Linked DNA regions of Danio rerio. The protein of the gene in region 1 purifies or fractionates together with the protein of each later gene. This does not show direct contact. Links are inferred from orthologs where the notes say so. Each region holds a gene or a part of one and is shown on either strand. Other genes may lie near its edges.

Region 1 (4,316 bases):
TTCTTGTTACAATTACTGTATTTAAATTAATGTGAGAGGAAGGTTTAGAGGAAGATGTAAATAAAAAACTATTTAATGAGTAAATTAATTAATAATATAAATAATTCTTGTAATATTTACTATTTTTACATTAGCGTGAGGGTTGGGTTTAGGGGTAAATACTAATAAAATACTATTTAATGAGTAAATTAATAAATAATATAAATGATTCTCATTTTAATAACTGCTTTTACATTAGTATGAGGGTTAGTTTTGGGGTTTGGGTAGGGGTAGACATTAATTAAAGACATTTTAACGAGTAATTTAATAAATAATATAAATAATTCTCATTATATTTACTGTTTTTACATTAGTGTGGGGGTTGGGTTCAGGGGTGGATGTTAATTAAATGCTATTTAATGGATGATTTAATAAGTAATATGAATAATTCTCATTATATTTACTGTTTTTACATTAGTGTGAGGGTTGGGTTTTGGGGTAGATGTTAATTAAATGCTATTTAATGGATGATTTAATAAGTAATATGAATAATTCTCATTATATTTACTGTTTTTACATTAGTGTGAGGGTTGGGTTTTGGGGTAGATGTTAATTAAAAGCTATTTAATGGATAATTTAATAAATATTAGGAATAATTATCATCATAAACACTGTTGTTACATTAGTGTGAGGTCTGTGTTTAGCATTGGGGAAGCAGACGTCAATACAAATAAAGGGTAAATTAATAAATTATATGAATAATACTTGCTTTAATTACTGTTTTTACATTACTGTTAAGGTTGGGTTAAGGGGTAGATGTTAATAAAACACAATTTATTTGATAATTTAATAAATAATATGAATATTTTCCTTATATTTACTGTTTTTTACATTGAAGTGAGGGTTGGGTTTGGGGGTAAATACTAATAAAATACATTTTAATGAGTAAATTAATAAATAATATGAATAATTCTCATTATATTTACTGTTTTTACATTAGTGTGAGGGTTGGGTTTTGGGGTAGATGTTAACTAAATGCTATTTAATGGATAATTTAATAAATAATATATATAATTCTAGTTATAATTACTGTTTTTACATTAGTATGAGGCTTGGGTTTTGAGGTAGAAGTTAATAAAATACTATTTATGGGTAATTTAATGAATATTATAAATAATTCTTGTTATATTTACTGGTTTTATATTAATGTGAGGGCTGTGTTTAGGGGTAGACGTTATTAAAATATTTAATGAGTAAATTAATAAATAATATAAATAATTCTCATTTTAATAACTGCTTTTACATTAGTATGAGGGTTAGTTTTGGGGTTTGGGTAGAGGTAGATGTTAATAAAATACATTTTAATGGGTAATTTAATAAATAATTCTTGTTATATTTACTGTTTTTACATTGGTGTGAGAGGTAGGTTTATGGGTAGGCACTAATAAAATACAATTTAATGAGTAAATTAATAAATAATATGGATAATTCTCGTCATATTTAATGTTTTACATTAGTGTAAGGCCTGGGTTTGGGGGTAAATGTTAATAAAATACAATTTAATGAGTAAATTAATAAATAATATACGCAATTCTCGTTATATTTACTGTTTTTACATTAATGTGAGGGCTGTGTTTAGGGGTAGACGTTAATAAAATACTAATTAATGAGTAAATTAATAAATAATATGAATAATTCTCATTTTTTTAATAACTGCTTTTACACTAATATGAGGGTTAGTTTTGGGGTTTGGATAGAGGTAGACGTTAACAAAATACATTTTAATGAGTAATTTCATAAATAATTGTTATATTTACTGCTTTGATATTTCTGTGATGTTTAGGTTAAGCGGTAGATGTTAATAAAATACTATTTAATGAGTAATTTAATAAATAATATGAACAATTCTCATGATAACTACTGTATTTACATTAGTGTGAGGGTTAGGGGTAAATGCTAATTAAATAATATTTAATGACTAATTTAATAGGTAATATGAATACTTCTCGTTATATTTACTGTTTTTACATTGTCGTGAGGGTTGGGTTCAGGGGTAGACGTAAACACAATACATTAAAATGAGTAATTTAATAAACAATATGAATAATTCTCGTTATAACTACTGTATTTACATTAGTGTGAGGGTTAGGAGTAAATGCTAATATTTAATGACAAATTAAATAGGTATTATAAATAATTCTAGTTATAATTACTGTTTTACATTGTCGTGAGGGTTGGGTTCAGGGGTAGACGTTAACACAATGAAATTCAATCAGTAATTTAATAAACAAAATAAATAATTCTCGTTAACTTCCGGTCGCAGCTGTATCCCTTCTAGCCGGTGTAAAGGCATCCAAGCAGATGTTTTACAGATCGATACATGAGTATTGAGGTATTGATGCCTCTGCGGGCGTTTCTATGTCAAACACTGTTATTTGTATATGTGTGTGGCATCATTTTACACAGGATGCCATTGCAAAAGACGCTTCCTCAACAGTGCCTATTCCCCAACAGGCTCCGATCTGTGTCAGACACATGCTACAGTAGCAACAATAGATGGATTATGAATGATTCTGACTGTATGCAGAATTTACCTTTGAACAAGAAATCGTATTCATCGTCTCTGTTGGCCATTTTAGACAAGCCGCCGCGTCCTGCAGTTCTTCCAGAAGGAGATGATCAGATGAGTTTGTGTTGATTAGCTCAGTGTAGAAAGAAAAGAGTCAAATAAAGGATAAAAGCGTACAATGCGCCACCGCCGCCGCCGCCGCTGCTGCTGTCACACCGCAGGAAGAGCGATCTGCTCGGGCTGCATTGGGGAGGAGTCCCGCTGAATAGAACCACAGCGGCCGGTAGGGGGCGCCACATTAGGACAAAAATGATTCATTGGATTCACAATATTTTTAATAAGTGGTTGCAAACTATTTATAAGGGCTAAATGTAAACAAATAAACTAAGTTGAACATAATTTAATTAGTTTGTTAACTTCAGCCCTTATAATTGTTTGCAAAGACCTTACCTTAAAAAAAATTAGCAAATCATAAATCAGTTTTTTCAGTGCTCACACACTGCTCTCAGATCAGCAATATTATTCTTTAGAAATCTGTTCCTGTTTTTATAAGCTATTGTAACTTTTTATCACATGTCTGGAACAAACTCGCAATCCTGAGTTATTAAGTGAGAATTATGAGTTATGAAGTGATTTTCTGACTTCATATTTCAGAATTTGGACTTTATATTTCAGAATTCTGACTTTATTAGGAAAAATTATGACTTTATAACGCAGAATTCTGACTTTATATCTCAGATCTATGAATTTATATCTCTGTGTTTTGACTTTATATCTCAGAATGGTGACTATAATGCAGAATTATGACTTTATAATGCAGAATTATGAATTTATATCTCAGAATTATGACTTTATATCTCAGAATTATGACTTTATAATGCAGAATTATGACTATAATGCAGAATTATGACTTTATAATGCAGAATTATGACTATAATGCAGAATTATGACTTTATAATGCAGAATTAGGACTATAATGCAGAATTATGACTTTATAATGCAGAATTATGACTTTATATCTCAGAATTATGACTTCATTATGTAGAATTATGATTTTATATATCAGAATTATGACTTTATGATGCAAAATTATGACTTTATATCTCAGAATTATGACTATTTTGCAGAATTATGAATTTATAATGCAGAATTATGACTATAATGCAGAATTATGACTTTATATTGCAGAATTATGACTTTATAATGCAGAATTATGACTATAATGCAGAATTATGACTTTATATTGCAGAATTATGACTTTATAATGCAGAATTATGACTATAATGCAGAATTATGACTTTATAATGCAGAATTATGACTATATCTCAGAAGTATGACTTTATAATGCAGAATTATGACTTTATAATGCAGAATTATGACTTTACATCTCTGAATTATGACTTTATAATGCAGAATTATGACTATATAATGCAGAATTATGACTTTATAATGCAGAATTATGACTACATCTCTGAATTATGACTTTATATATCAGAATTGTGACTTTATATCTCTGAATTATGACTTTATATATCAGAATTGTGACTTTATATCTCTGAATTATGACTTTATAATGCAGAATTATGACTTTATAACTCAGAACTATAGCTTTATAATAATATTATTGACCTTAAAATGTTTTTTAAAATATTAAAAACTGCTTTTATTCTAGCCGAATCAAAACAAAATAGACTTTCTCCAGAAGAAAAAAATATTATAGGAACTGCTGTGAAAAATTCCTGAATCTGTTAAACATCATTTGAGAAAT
Region 2 (4,125 bases), on another chromosome or scaffold:
ATAGAAAAAAAAAACATTTTACAAGTAACTTTTATTATAAATAATTTAATATTTTCTTGTTTTGAAATGGCTAAATTCTGACTGAGGAAGGTTGAATGTGCTGGCCAGTTTATTTGTCTCATAAATGACAATAAGCTACAGTTTTTAATGTAAAACTTTAACAGATTCCTTTTTTTTCTAATGATATATGATGTAATAAATTTATAATTTTAAAAAATAAGTATTTTATCACATTTATTTATTCTAAATCTTTAGGAAATATTTGGTACATCAAAAAGTGTGGTTATAATGACCACCATCCAACAAGTGAATTCAGCTAAAAATTAGTGCTTAAAATGTCACTAAAATGCAGTATTTAAATTTAATAACTACATTGAAAGTTACTGCAAAAAGGTCTATGTTTGAAAAAAAAAAAAAAAAAGAACCACTAACTTCACCAGGCTACAGGCCTGTATCTATCTAAATGAAAAAAAAAAAATCCCAGCCCAACGATTTGCGTCTGACAATTACGTAACCTCTGTTTCCATGTGAAATGCAAATTCACATCCTTCACAAGAGTTTAAACCAATTCAAAGTTAGTTGTTATTCGACTGACACGTAATTTATCCTATCAGAGTGCTGTATTGTAGTGACTGGGCGGAACAAATACTGTCACGTAGGACAAAGGAATGAACATCACGCTTGTAAACTACTAAGGATACTGTTTCTCTAGTGCCTGGAGCAGACTGATCTGAGGGAGGATGAATAATCGGCTTCATAATAATTACTCACGCTCCCTTGTTCTGTTGTCATCTTGCTAAATATACTTTATGTGGTTCATTTGACCCGAGGAAGTAAATAGGGGTTACATATTGAAAATCCAATAAGCGTTCAGGTAACCGTGCTTAAACATAGAACATTTTTAAATATCCATGAAGGTAAACTCCACTGAGGTTTTAAGGTATTTTGTGACTGCGAAACGTGCATGAATAGTCAATGAATGCTATGCTAGTGTCTGATTGGTTTTCTGTTGTCGAACTCGTTGACATATTCAATCAACCATCGTTTACTGTTAACTTTTTGAGGTTAAAATAATACTGAAATTAGGGCCAAAGAGTAAAAGCGGTACAGACACATTGTTTAAAGTAGCATTAACCCGGAATTCTAAAATAAACCATCATAAGCTCTTCTGTAATAGCTTAACTTGAAGAATGGTGTGATACCTGCATCACCTGAGCGCTGGGTACACACTGTGCGTCATGCGTAAAGGGCGGGACTTGTGAGATCTCCCAAACAGAACAGTTACACACAGTAGCTTTGAACGACGCCGGACACACGGCAAACATCAAGCAGGGACGTACTTACAAAGAGCAATTTTAGTCCCGTTTGAACTTGTATTTAAACATGTCTTTGGGTGACCAGCAGTGGTATCCCACCAGCGTTCAGGTAACCGTGCTCAAAGCACGAAACTTACGTATCAAGGGCAAAAATGGAACGAACGACGCCTATGCCATCATGCAGGTGGGCAAGGACAAGTTTTCCACCTCGGTAGCGGAGAAATGCGTCTCACCGGAATGGAAGGAGGAAGCGACGTTCGACTTGCCGCTGGTACATCAGGGGGACGTGGAACGATGCACGCTGTACATCATCGCCATGCACCGTGCCCTGGTGGGGCTAGACAAGTTTTTGGGGCAGGCTGTCATCAATTTAGTGGACCTCCACGCCAACAGATCACGCAAGAAAACCGAGTGAGTGCCGTTCTGTCTTATACGGAAATAATGTAGATATGACATTATCTGAGTGTCATAAAATATGCCACTGACTCAAAAGTTTAATTAATAAACTGCCGATGAGTTAACCATAGCTAGTTTTGGTCTATGATTCTGCATGGAAAAGTTTTAATACTCCGCCCTTTTAGCACGGCATATTATTATTAGGGGGTCAAGCGCGTAGCGCTGAAACCCTATTGTATTTGTTAGGATTTTTATTATTATTATTATTCTGCCGAAGTCACTATTGCCCAGGCCAAACCGTAAGGCCGAGAGAGCTGAAACTTGGCCAGAAGGTAGTACCCCGGTACACTACGTTCTCACCAAAGATCAGCCAAATCGGACCATAGGTGGCGCTATGGCGCCAAAAACCCACTTTTTGGACATTTTTGGCCGTTATTTGTTTACCGTTTGTCGTAGACTCAAAAACTTTACATATTTTGAATCCTTGGGTTAACCCGAACAAAAGTGCACAGCTGCACTTTTTGCTCTACGGCGCACCGTTTTCCCGCTACATCGCAATTTGTCCGAAACCTATTTTTGCGAACTAGTCCTAGGTTTTTCACTCAATCTAAACCAAACCAGCTCTCAAATGTTCTCTAGACACTGAATATCAATAATTATCAAAAAAAAGTTGACATTTTTATTCTCACTCGAAACAGTACACAACAATGTTCAATGCTAATTGAAGCTAAATGCTAATTGTGGCTATAACTTTTGAACGGAATGAGATATCATCACCAAACTTGGTACACACATGTATAAGCTCAATTTCAGGTCACAGTGCAAAAACAGTAGACTTTGGCCACACTGTGGCGCTATAAAGCTTAAAAACCATAAAATGACTCTAACCTTACAACCGTTAGTCCGATCAACTTGAAATTTGGCATGCAGTGTCTTTGATCAGTTTGCCATGAATCATTATAAGGACATTGGCACATCTCAAAAAACATGGCCGCCATTAGCCAATAAATATTGAGCAGCCATTTAACAAGGTTAACGATCAGTGATCGTAACGAAACTCGCTGGGCATGTTCGACTCACTGTCCTAGAGGTCTGTAAGAATTTTGAAAGAAATCGGCCACTAGGGGGCGATTTTACACAATTTTAAGGTGTAATGAGTTGTGTATCACACAACCTTTTGCAAAACCACAGAAAATACATATCATATGATAGGCCTGCTTATACCGAACAGTTTGACACTAAAATCACTGCTGTCACTCGCACTGTTCATTAAATATTCATCAACATATGAAAAACCTACTTTTGCGAACTAGTCCCTGGTTTTTCACTCAATCGCAACGAAACCAGTGTTGGTGGAATCTCTGGACTGTGTAGATCAATAATTATCAAAAAAAAGTTGAACTTTTTACTTTGGCTAGCTGTAACAGGCTAATTTACAAAAGGGGCGTGTCCACACGGACCTACATGCCTGTAAACCAATAAGGAAAACTCACAACATCACAGAAATTGGTGAGCACATGTGCCATATCAATGAGAAGAAACTTGCAAAATTTTGTGAAGATCAAACCATAGGTGGCGCTATAATAGCAAAAATAGTCTTAAAAACATGCCAAATGGCTTAAAAATAAAGTAAATGTGCTTCATTTAAACACTATTTCACAAATACACTTAATCTACATATCATGTGATAGGTCTGCTCATACCGAACAGTTTGACACTAAAGCCACTGCTGTCACTCACACCGTTCATTAAAAAACCATCAATATAAACAAAACATACTTTTGCGAACTAGTCCCTGGTTTTTAGCTCAATCACAACGAAACCAGTGTTAAATGAACCTCTGGACTGAGTAGATCAATAATTATCAAAAAAATGTTGAACTTTCCATTTTAGATAGCTGTAACAGGCTCATTTACAAAAGGGGCGTGTCTACACGAACCTACATGCCTGTAAACCAATAAGAAAAACCCAAAACATCACAGAAATTAATGAGCACATGTGGCATATCAATGCGAATTAACATGCAAAATTTTGTGGTGATCGGGCAATAGGTGGCGCTATAATAGTAGAAATGGTTCTAAAAACATCATAAAATGGCTTAAAAATGCAGTAAATGTGCTTCATATACACACCTATCACTGAAATGATGTACAAGTTAATTTTTCTTGCCCATATTGGATGTTTAAATGTCTTAAAAACACATATTTTCAATATTCTATCATTTTAGCCACTATAACACAGACTTTTAACTGTCACTTACCATTTCTAACCACTAGATGTCACAACAAGACCACTTATTTATTGTTCATAACATTTGCATACCTTTGTTGTTTTACATCTTTTTGATTTGAAATCAGGGAAATTGCATTTAGGATCATTCTGAATCATATTTTGACCTGATATAAACACTGCT
Region 3 (3,659 bases), on another chromosome or scaffold:
CACAATGAACGGATAACATAAACATAGCTGTGCTTACATCAACAAATTCACTGGTTAGTTTAAAGGCTGATGTCTCGAAGCCTAGGTTTCGTGGAGAGCTGGAAAGGATGAAGCCAAAATCGATGTGAATGATGTGGCCTTCAGAGTCCAGCAAGATATTTCCGTTGTGCCTGAAAACCAGAGAAAAACAATGCTGTTTATAACAGCTTATCCAAATCATTCAGTTCCTGTTCAAGCATGATTTTACTGGCCGTGGTTTCTCTCACCGGTCTTTGACCTGCAGCAGATAGCAGATGAGACAATATCCTGCGCAGCTCTGAACAAAGTTGCGCTGAGCTGTAAGGAATTCTTCTGTGTTGAAGTTGCCGTGTTCTTGCCGGAAGTAATCGAGCAGTAAAAGCTGACTCTGTTTCTTTACCTGGTGAATGGACACAGCATTGACCACTGGTTCAATCATGCCACTGTCTGAAGAGATGACCAAGATCTTGTAGGGTTTGATCCATAAGGGAACCCGCTCCTGCTCCCAGATAATCTGGAAAACAAAGAAATGTTTAGATCATCCAGTAGATCTACAATGTCTGAGCACAAAAACTTGTAAAAATACTGACCATTAAAAAGTTTGGAATGAATTCTGCAGGAAAGTGGTCAACATTTTATTCAACAATGAAGCATTAACTTGATTAAATGTAATAGTGGCTACATCCGAAACTGCCTACTACTCAGTAGGTATTGCATTTAAATTTAAATGAATGGAACTCGGACGTACAACATCCACCATTTTGTCACATCATGTGACCTACCCACATCAGTTGCGTCGCTTTACTCCCATTCATGAATTCTCTCGCGGTGCATCATGGGATAGCATGGCATCTATCTGATGCACACTTCAGAATCTTGTCGGAAGTTAGGGTTGGGCAATGTCTAATGTGAAACATCGCGATGGACGATGACATCGTCATCATAGGTGGCGGTGAATTAATTATTTATGAATAATTAATTAATGATTTGTAGCCTACCATTTCAACTACCTGAACCACATGGTCTTTGTTTTACCCAAAAGTCATAAATTAAGATAAGTTACACACAAATTACCACCTGTCCATCACTTTTTCCACAGGACTCTGGCATGAATAGACAGAGTGATCTGTGTCATTATAATGTCGTCGACAAATTTGGTTGGTAAAAAAGGTGCACAACCAACAGTTTCTGAGGTTTTCGCTAAAATTACAAAGTACAAGCATGAAAGCGAACGAAGATTAGTTAAATCTCAGGTTTAATAACTATTGCGAGACGCCATCCAGCAGTACATCATTGAATAACTGTCCAACAAGCACTGAACTCTAGGGTTTTGTGATTAAAGCATCCCATACTGACTGCGTGGAGCTCTGATGTGCGCATGCCAGAGTGTGTATAAGTGTGTGGCCACGTGATGCGTGTTTTCAGCGGTAAAGTGTGGATGGAGAGCTGTTTAGATATGCTAGGTAAAAGACAGTGTGGACGTGGTTTGTTTTCATTCTAAAATGCCATTTTAAACTAAGACATATTAGTGTAAACAGGGCCTGAGTGTGTATTTTTGCAAGCAGGTTGCTGCTGTGATGGGGGCCGGGTGAAGGATTGCGATGCGGGCACTTGGAGTTGGACGATGACATCGTCTATTGACCCAATCCTACCGGACGTAGTAGGTCAACCGGGTACTTCTCGCTCACTGTATATCTAATTCTATGAATTCGGTCATACTACTCGGCTTGCATACTGTTTTTAGCGTACTATATAGTATGAAAGTATGCAATTTCAGATACAGCCAGTATGTTTTTTAAAATCTAAAAATAAATGTATCAATAATTTCCACAAAACAAATAAAATTATTAAATCAGCAACTCAACTGCTGCACAACTTAAGTTTTTTGTTTTATTTAATTTTTTCTGATGGATCATATAATCAATGAAAAAAATTTCAGCACTTCCACAACAGAAATACAATACATTTTAGAATGGAAATGATTAAATTGTAAAAACAATTTCTGTTTTTATTAAATATGTTCGGCATTTGTGAGCATAAAACATCAATAAAACATCTGAGTGAACCAAAACTTCTGAAGCATAAATGTTTTAAACTCATTATATAAATGAATCTTAGATTAAATCTTAACAATTGGACTCTGGTAAAACTAAACTGATAAAACTGCAAACTTTACTAATGGTTATAACCACTTTTGTTTAAAGAATAAAATAAAAATCTAAAATTCTGTCAAATATGTATTATTAAAAAATTATTAATTAATTGAAATGCCTTAAAGCAAGGGTGTTAAAGTCAGTTCCTGGAGGGCCGCAGCCTTGCACAGTTTAGTTCCAGCCCTGCTCCAACACGCTTACCTGTAGGTTTCAAACAAGCCTGAATGACTGAATTAGTTGGATCAGGTGTGTTTAATAAGGGTTGGAACTAAACTGTGTTGAGCTGTGGAACTGACTTTGACGCCTGTGGTTTAAAGCATGAACAAGTAGATTTTATTTCAACACAATTTAAAAAAGGGAAAGTAAGCGAGCACAATAAAACACTAGCAGTGATATATACATTTTGTATATTTTAAAATCCAATCCCAAATTGTAAGACAAAATTTAAGGAGTGCAACCTGCAGTTGTTTCAGCACTTGATAGGCGAGAAGCTCCTGTCTTAGGTCATCGCCACATTTCACAATTACAGAAAGTAGACGCCAGTTGGGCAGGTGGCCATAGGGGGAGCCCTCCCTGATCCGCCTATTCAAAAGCACAGGACAAATGAAATCAAACACAACTAATGAACCAATAAACAACCGATCCTTTCAGAGAAAGACATGCACATACCTCACTTTCTCCTGCCATGGCTCCTTTAAGGCTACAGCTGAAGGATCCTCTGGGTCCTTCCTAAATGTGGTCGGCGTGTGGGCGAGTTGCTCAGACAGGCGTCGTCTAAAATACAAAAACATTAGTTATAAAAGTATTGTCTTTCTTATTGTTCACCGTTATGATTAAGATTCATTCACACAAAGCACAAGAATAAATTAAACAATAAATTAAAATGCTAAAATGCTAAATTAAACAATAAATATATTTGTGTCCACACTGAATGATAAAAACCTGTTTATTTTTAGTCTATGCTTTTTATTCGGCATTACCCCCTTGTAACCAGCAGATGTCTTCAGTGCGCATCTAACCAGTGAATCTGTATTTAAAAATTGATTCATCTAATTAAACACATGTAGCACTCGTGGTCAGTGAAGTGAAATAAAAACATCGAGCTATTTTCCCTAGCATTTTCAAAGGAGTCAACAAAAAGATCCTGAAACTAGCATCTACAATTACTGAAACTAAAATTAGCCTGGCTTGCAAAACTTCAATGTCTTTTTTTCATTCTTAAGCATGGTACAACCGACTGTTTTCTAGATAGTCATTATCTTTAAATGATCTTTGAAAAAAAGGCTTAACGTCCAGCTGAGCTTCTCCACAATGTTGTCTGGATCTTTAAATTGTGGAAGCCCTTTATATTTCTATGAATTCTGACTGACTGTCAGTGTTTTATCATTTATTAGTGGAGAAAAAAAAATTCTGAAAGTGATCCACAATGATATCATTTCTCTGCATCTTTATCGTTATAGTTGTAGTCTGCTGTTGTTTTACATTCAG

What was found.
Region 2: the proteins of rab11bb (region 1) and rab11fip1a purify together in Homo sapiens (affinity purification with mass spectrometry; 3 studies listed by BioGRID and IntAct, counting the BioPlex papers as one, with this or other methods). This does not show direct contact. The link is inferred for Danio rerio from reciprocal best matches to the Homo sapiens genes RAB11B and RAB11FIP1.
Region 3: the proteins of rab11bb (region 1) and pi4kb purify together in Homo sapiens (co-immunoprecipitation; 3 studies listed by BioGRID and IntAct, with this or other methods). This does not show direct contact. The link is inferred for Danio rerio from reciprocal best matches to the Homo sapiens genes RAB11B and PI4KB.

Annotation. Positions count from the first base shown.
Region 1 is NC_133177.1:59,786,306-59,790,621, reverse strand, and holds the start of rab11bb (RAB11B, member RAS oncogene family, b), read right to left. Parts: upstream 2,818-4,316; 5' UTR 2,614-2,817; coding exon 2,574-2,613; intron 1-2,573. UniProt on the Homo sapiens protein: The small GTPases Rab are key regulators of intracellular membrane trafficking, from the formation of transport vesicles to their fusion with membranes.
Region 2 is NC_133183.1:44,911,004-44,915,128, reverse strand, and holds the start of rab11fip1a (uncharacterized protein rab11fip1a), read left to right. Parts: upstream 1-1,274; 5' UTR 1,275-1,383; coding exon 1,384-1,727; intron 1,728-4,125. UniProt on the Homo sapiens protein: A Rab11 effector protein involved in the endosomal recycling process. Also involved in controlling membrane trafficking along the phagocytic pathway and in phagocytosis. Interaction with RAB14 may function in the process of neurite formation.
Region 3 is NC_133191.1:42,595,852-42,599,510, reverse strand, and holds part of pi4kb (phosphatidylinositol 4-kinase beta), read right to left. Parts: intron 2,946-3,659; coding exon 2,841-2,945; intron 2,754-2,840; coding exon 2,630-2,753; intron 533-2,629; coding exon 267-532; intron 171-266; coding exon 38-170; intron 1-37. UniProt on the Homo sapiens protein: Phosphorylates phosphatidylinositol (PI) in the first committed step in the production of the second messenger inositol-1,4,5,-trisphosphate (PIP). May regulate Golgi disintegration/reorganization during mitosis, possibly via its phosphorylation.